2 linked regions of the Danio rerio genome follow. The protein of the gene in region 1 purifies or fractionates together with the protein of each later gene. This does not show direct contact. Links are inferred from orthologs where the notes say so. Each region holds a gene or a part of one and is shown on either strand. Other genes may lie near its edges.

Region 1 (3,500 bases):
AACCAGCCAGGGATCATTACAAGTGGAGGTCAGTGTGGCTTATTAGTAAACTAATGCTGCAAATGTTAATTCAACAATTCAATAATGCTTTATAAAGTATGTCATCCTGTTCTTTACCCAGGTAAACTGTTCAGCATGGGTCATAACCCCTCTCTGGGTAGCGTGGACTCAGAGTATGATATGGGCTCCATGCACAGTGACCTCAGTCTGCTTGAAGACGGGCCCTCTCTTAATGAGGTGGTCCTGGCCAACACACCAGTGACCCGCTTGACTCCACCGTTCATCAGTGCTCGGCCCGCGAACCCCACCATGCAGGCACTGAGCACCCAGAGGAGAGAAACGCACAACCGCTCTCCCATCAGCTTCAGAGAGGGCCGCAGGGCTTCAGACACATCACTCACACAAGGTGAAGGGCATATAATATATTTACTTAATAAATGGTATTACAAAAATTACATATTGTGCAGCCCTAAGTGAGATTGCTCACTGATGTTCAAAGGTTGGATGAAATCAAACTTTACAACATTTTGCTAGCGCGTTGTTAGTCTTGAAAAGTGAACAATTAGTCCCTACACCAGGGGTGCCCAAACTTTGTCGAATGAAGGATCAAAAACCAAATATTACTAATAGCTGTGGGTCAAATAAAAGTATACCAAACTGTTTTACATTTAAAAAAACACCATGGGTAATTTTCTAATTAATTTCATAACGTTAAAAAAATAAATAGAAAGCATTATTTTGAATCTTTGAACTTTTATAACTTATGGCAACACATTTATAACACAGTGGAGTTCAATGCTGAACACACTAGGATTCAGAGAGTCTTTGCCTTGATTCGCTCAACAAAGTCTCTGCATTGTCCTCTCTCCGTCAAGTGTACATTTTAAACTAAATCTTATTAAATTTACACTGTTTGCATTAAAACGTTCCATTTCAGATTGAAGCTTAACTATAAAACAAACAAGTATAAGGTTACAATAAATCTAAAATGATATTCTCTAAACCATTCTCAGATGGCATGAAGGCGCCAACTTTGGCCTGCAGGCCCTAGTTTGGGCATCTCTGCCCTACACTGAAAGTAAAGAGTTTGTAATCAAAATCTAACCATTTGCTTCTCCTCTGGAATGACATCAGTTTGATGGCCTGGGGCGAGATATGCTTAGCAACACCCTCAAATCATTCCTTTGCTGCAAGTGAAAAATGAGAGGAGAATTGCAAAAGTAAAACCCCACACCCTTAATATTTGAGTTGGAAATATGTCGTCATACTTAAAAGTCTGCAGTAACTTCCAATTCATATGGGATTTAATTTGCTGCGTTTCATTGAAAAATATATACATAATAAAATATTTAGCAGCTATCAGAATCAGAAGAAATGTTTCTTCAGCATCAAATCAGCATCTTGGAATGATTATGATTCCTGAAGAATCATGTGACATTTGTCAGCTGGTAATATTATTTCTATTTTAAAAATAGTTCAAAATTAGAAATAAAAAACATTACATGATAGATTAACATTAAATGTTAATGTTCTTAACAAGTGTAAAATTTTACATGTTTACTAATAATCACAGTCATTTTAACATTTGTACTGTTATATGTGCATTAGATATAAAAAAATATAAAAAGTAATACATTTTTCTGCTCTTCCTTCTCATTTTCTCACACTTATTATTTTTTTCACACCCTTTCCCTCCCTCCCTGTTTCTCTCTTGTTTTCCTCCTCTAAATGCGCCACCCCCTGTCAGATGATTCATTGTGTGAATCAGAGAACCCTTTGAAGATTAGGCCAAGTCAGTCCTATTGAGTTCTCTCATCCTGTGGCCTGAATAATTACCCTTAATCACTTGAAGCCCTAAAATAACCTAAGAATCAACCCATCTACCCTCTTCCGATAGGCAGCAGAGGAGTCAAGAGCCACTAAACGGCATTTTAATGTGTACTTGAGCGATGAATAAAGCATTTGCAGCCCTGCCTGGACATATCTTGTCCTGAAATAGACTGATTAGCCGTGTTAAGTGAGGTCACGTGGTAGTGGTGCACCGGAGCAGTCAGAGGTGGTGTGGGCTTCAGGGAACAAGAGTCACTTCCTCAGTTCTGACACTCCCATCTGAAAATACATGACCACACATGGATGTAGACACTAAGGGCAGAACGTCTGATGATCTGTAAATCATTCGGAAATAACACTGCTATTATTCATAATCTTATTCCTCTCTCTGTGTAGGCTTGGTGGCCTTTAGACAGCACCTACAGAATCTGGCACGTACCAAAGGTATCCTGGAGCTAAATAAGGTGTACGCGCAGATGGGCTCTGGAGAAACCCCATCCCTGGGGCTGCTGAGCCCTCAGGCCCATCCACATGGCTTACTGGACCCTGCACTACAGGTCAGTCCACCAGGAGAGATACTAGATTTACAGATTTGGCTTAACCTGTCACTTTTTTGTAGTATGCCGTACAATCAGGCAGCAGAAAAGGTGTATTTAAAACATCTATCTTTTTTTGTTGTTCTTTATGAACTTAAAGACAATGAAGTTAGTTTGCAAATGAGTTAATGCAGGCAAATTACTTTGTTTAGCCAAACATAAAATGAAAAGTAAATTACCAGTACATTTTAATGTTCATTCATTTACTTCGATACAATGGCCATCAGAGGCATTTACATTTACTGATCAAAATGCTGGAGTTTTGAACAGTGCTGACTTGTTCTCTTATGTAAATAGGAGATTAACTTTTTTTTACAGAACATTATATAAAAGCACTTTAATAACAGAATTTTGTGATGTTGCGATGTACATAGTCACCGACTGACAGTTTTTTTGTGATTATAACAGCAGCACTCTTTTCTAGGCAACTGTCCTTTTAGAATTTCAATACATTCACTAACTCACAAATCACTAACAGCAATAGTCAATATAAGATTATTTACCACTGTGTCATTTACATTCATGGCATCAAGGAATCATTTTATGGGGAAAATATTTAAATGTCATTTGATTAAAGATGATTTTTACATAGGGCTGGGCAATTTGGCTTAAAATCAACATCTCGATTAATTAAACATTTTAACTCGGTTAACTATTATTATTTATTTTTTATTTTTATTTATTTTATTTATTTTTTTTGCCCTCATAGATCACGGTGAAGTTTTCTACAGTAAATGTGCTCACATATTACAAGTGAGAGATTTTTGAATAAAGGATGCATTACTTGATTTTAAAATTATTGAAGGAAACACACACTACTATCAATAATGATCTACTATCAATGATTATTAATTGAACATCAACATTAAACAACTGAAATTAAAGCATACATTGCCTAAATAACTTGCATAAATATATCTTCTAAATCAACTCTTGCATATCCTGTAAATAATATTTTAAACAGTGCATTTCTTGCATCTTCTGTAAACAAGTATTTTACTGTAAAGGAAAAAATGCCATCTCAAGGCATCTCTGGCGCAGCTTACAATCATTGTCAGTGTAATCGTCAAAAGT
Region 2 (4,300 bases), on another chromosome or scaffold:
GAATGCCTTTAATACAAAGATCGTCATTTCTAATTTGACGTAACCTCCTTTGCTTGTTTTATTGCTGAACTACAAAAATGTTCACATAAATTAAATGTTTTATTTAATTGTAAATGCATCAATTTTTTTTGTAAATGCAAGTAGTGTCACTCGACGGATAGACTATGCAGAAGACATCAGCAACCAAATCAAGGAAAAACTAGTATAATTTTGTTATAAATTCGATTTTTACTATGATGGGTTCATTATAAAATATACAAAATACTGTAGTTAACATAAATGTTTTCTAGTAAATTTTAAACATTATTAAATAAATTTAAAAAATTACCCATGGTAAATTACCCCACCTATATTTGCCTTCGGCCCAATAACAGTTAGCCTCAATCAATTTGGTTTTCCTTCATGAGAAAAAGTTTGGGCACCCTTGCTATAAGCGGTAATAAAATGTTTTGTGGAGGACGCCTATATTCCATCACTGCCATAAAACTGAACCCTCCCACTCCTCACAGTCACGACTCTGACCTGTAAGATTTCTACGTTACTTATCGGGTAAGTCTGAATAACAGCGTTTAATGAATAAAAGGCGTTCGTCTTTGTCATCCCTGCGGATCCTGCCGCTTTTAGCGGCTTCCAGTCTCTCTGCGAAGCGCGCGGCAGTTTGACTGCACATGACTCTGCAGATGCCGGTTAAAGTTCTCCAGTTCAATGGAGGAGATTTAAAGAGGCCCGCATTTCCAATATATTTATACACCACACCAAATAATACACACAAACAGAAAAGAAACCGGACGTGTTACTCAGTGCCTACTCATTTACACAACCGAGATATAAAAAATCCCGCAGCCTGACCGCGCATCCCGCTAACAAATGATGAAAGGGTTAGCAGCAGACATGTTTCCACTCAAATGAAGCTCATCGCTGAAACACACCTCTATCACAGAAAAAAACAACAGTATTGCTTAAAACATCCTCAAATGATCTTTGCACTATAAATAACATAAGATGGAAATCAGTTTTGTCGATTTACTGGCTAACTGGAGGGAACGAGGCTGCTAGGCGGCTAGGCTACTGTCAGTAGAGCAGGAACGCGATGGTGGCTCCAGTGCAGCCGCTGCGCTCATTGAAACAAACAGAAGCGATTCCCTAGTTCACGGTGAATTGGAACAATCTCTGCTCAAGCAGCTCATAAACTTGTCGAGTTACCTGCCATGGCGAGAGTGGCGATGTCGGACCCTAGTCTTGATAAGCAGTGTGAAGGCGACCAGAGCAAAATTTCCAAGAGAGTCGCCGGAAATGCTGTTTTTCAAAATAAAAGTGCTTCTGATACTTCTGGATAAAAAGGGAAACAAGAAATAAAAAGCAAACAGATTTGTTAAAGGTATAGTTCACCCAAAAATGCTAATTCTGTCATCGTTAATTCACCATTTATTTATTTCAAACCTTTGCATTTCTATAATCTGTTGAGCACTATGCACAAATGATTTTGGAAACCTGTAACCATTGACCTCCATAGTATTTGCATTTACTACTATGGAAGTCAATGGTTACCGGTTGTCAGCTCTCTATAAAATATTCTCTTTTGTGTTCAACAATAGAAAGAAACTAAAATAGGTTTGGAAAAACACGAGGGAGAGTAAATACTCAATTTTGGGGCGAACAAGCATTGGGCGAAAGCATATATTACAATATTTCTAGTTATTCATGCAGGTAACCCAAATAAAAAGATATAGCTGACAGTAAGGTTTTCCCTGTTTTATGAGTTATTATGAAAATCTCTATTAATACACTTTGTTTAACATTGGTTCTGCTTTTGTCAGGACTGATAAATACTAACCATTTGTGCATAATTTATCAAACCAACTTATTAGTGGTCAATAACACTGAAATATTCATAGTGAAGGTAAACAATGCCAAGAGCTTCATATGACAGGCATCTTTGGTATGCAGCTTTATTTACTAGAGTACATTGGAATCATGCCCATATGATTTAATATGATGCTAAAAATACATGACGTGCCAACATTCAATGTTCCTTTTGATTTGGGAGGAAATGCAAATATGCAAATATCAAACATAATAAATAACTAAAATGTATTGTCTATTTACAAAGTTATGTATTACACTGATATCTTTAAACTGAAGTGAATATAAAAATATTTAAATGATATGCAAAAATTGTAATATGCTTTATTACATATAAAAAACAATGTAAAAAAATATATATATCCTTTATTACATAACAAAAAGTAACATATGTCATTAATCTTTCGGTTACTACAATAAAATTGTAAAATACTACATAATAGTTTAAATCAATACTATAATAAAAATCATTTCAGGTTTTAAACAATTTTCCCAGTACTGGGTTGTGGCTGGTAGAACATCCATTGCGTAAACATATGGTGGAATAATTGGCGGTTCATTTCTCTGTGGCAACCTCTGATAAATAAGAGACTAAGCTGAATGAAAACTGATGAATGAATACATTTTATACAATGTTTATATTAAACTTACTTTAAAATCCTTTTCTTGTACTTGTATTTTGAAAGGGAATCACGCTTTCGGGTCCGCTGTTGCGTCACTTCCGGCTCTTACCTTGGCTTACTGCTGCTGCTGCTAGTTTTTGCTATCAGAACTGTCCAGAGAACTTTGCAGGGTTTATTTTATTGCAAGCAGCTCCTCTGCAAATGCATGAAGAGGAATGTCGGAAAGACGCTATTTTTTGTCGGTAGCCCTTCAGTTCGCTATTAAATGTTGAAATGTTCTGTCTTTCCTCCTCAGCTTTCTCCTCCTACACTCCTCTCAACATTCAAAATGGCGCAACCCCGCCCTGTCATGACGTAATCGGCGCTGGCCATTCATCAGTGGGTGCTGGAGTAATGATGTAACGCCACTGAACTTGTGTGGGCAGATGAGGATATGAAATGCGTTTGTCACAAAGTTATGTGCATTTATTTAAAACTTTTTTTTTTTTTTACTTTAAGAAGAGGGAAACAATTATGCCTAAACTTTTTTGGATGGAGTGTCTTTTTTTGATAAAAAATGTGACAACAGACATGTCAGACGATTGTTACATTACTCTGTATATACCACCCCAAGATGTAATTTTTTTTGGACCAACTTCTCTGACTGCATTCAATGGAAGAGAGCATGGTTATTACCTGAAAAATTCAGCATATCCAACAAAATAAGAGAGATACATTTTAAGATCTTGCATAATGTTTATCCTACAAATTCCCAAATTGCGAATTATTTTGATATATCTAATTTGTGTACTTTCTGCAATACACATGAAGAGACTTTATTTCACTTATTCTATAGTTGCACTCACATTAAACGTCTTTAAAATGACATTACTTTTTATTTATCATCCATTTTTAAACATGATTTAAATTTGTCTATAAAAGATATATTTCTGTATTTCTCGGATGATGGTCATGCTCTCGATCTTATTGTAAATTTTTTTGTGTTACACTGTAAATTTTTTATACACAAAAATAAGTTTCTAAAAACAATACCTGTTTTTAATACTTTCCTTGTTGAAATTTCGTATATATTGAATCTCTTAAGCTTATTAATAATAAGAAAAATAATAAGTTTCTTAAAGCTTATGACAATCTTTTTTGTTAATGTTTGAGGCTGTGTATTTTTAATTTTTCTCTCTGTCTTCTTTCTTATTTTTTGTTATTGTATTTTTTCTTCAATGCAGTGATGTTATTATTCTTGTATTCAATAAAAAAAAGATGAGGATATGAAATCTTTTTATTTAATTTTTAAAGTTTATATTATTTATCCTGATCTGTTATTGTCATTGTGTTTTTCTGTGTAAATTGAATTTTGTATGTTTGTTATTGAAGTCAATAAAAAAAAAAGATGAGGATATGAAAAAAATTTACTCCAACAGCATCAAATATTCTACAACATAAAACAAGCTTGTTTAATATCTGTTTTGAATAACGGTTAACACTAAAACATTTTTTGCACATTTCCTCAGTCATTTGTTTTTAAAGATAGAATTATTAGTATTATTGATAATTATGTATCTCACAGCAAGAAGGTCGCTGGGTCGAACCTCGGCTCAGTTGGTGTTTCTGTGTGGAGTTTGCATGTTTTCCCTGCGTTCGTGTGGGTTTCCTCCATACTCCGGTTTCCCCCATAGTCCAAATACATGTGGCAGGTGAATTGGGTAAGCTAAATTGTCCGTAGTGTATGTGTGTGTGTGGATGTGTGGATGTTTCCCAGAGATGGGTTGCGACTGGAAGGGCATCTGCTGCGTAATAACGTGCTGGATAAGATGGCG

Evidence for each region. Proteins that work in one complex are often made in the same cells at the same time.
Region 2: the proteins of sik2b (region 1) and ppp2r2ab purify together in Homo sapiens (affinity purification with mass spectrometry; 3 studies listed by BioGRID and IntAct, with this or other methods). This does not show direct contact. The link is inferred for Danio rerio from reciprocal best matches to the Homo sapiens genes SIK2 and PPP2R2A.

Annotation. Positions count from the first base shown.
Region 1 is NC_133190.1:24,253,624-24,257,123, reverse strand, and holds part of sik2b (serine/threonine-protein kinase SIK2), read left to right. Parts: coding exon 1-28; intron 29-121; coding exon 122-406; intron 407-2,226; coding exon 2,227-2,387; intron 2,388-3,500. UniProt on the Homo sapiens protein: Serine/threonine-protein kinase that plays a role in many biological processes such as fatty acid oxidation, autophagy, immune response or glucose metabolism.
Region 2 is NC_133185.1:23,747,211-23,751,510, reverse strand, and holds the start of ppp2r2ab (serine/threonine-protein phosphatase 2A 55 kDa regulatory subunit B alpha isoform), read right to left. Parts: upstream 2,801-4,300; 5' UTR 2,515-2,800; intron 1,330-2,514; 5' UTR 1,211-1,329; coding exon 1,204-1,210; intron 1-1,203. UniProt on the Homo sapiens protein: Substrate-recognition subunit of protein phosphatase 2A (PP2A) that plays a key role in cell cycle by controlling mitosis entry and exit. Involved in chromosome clustering during late mitosis by mediating dephosphorylation of MKI67.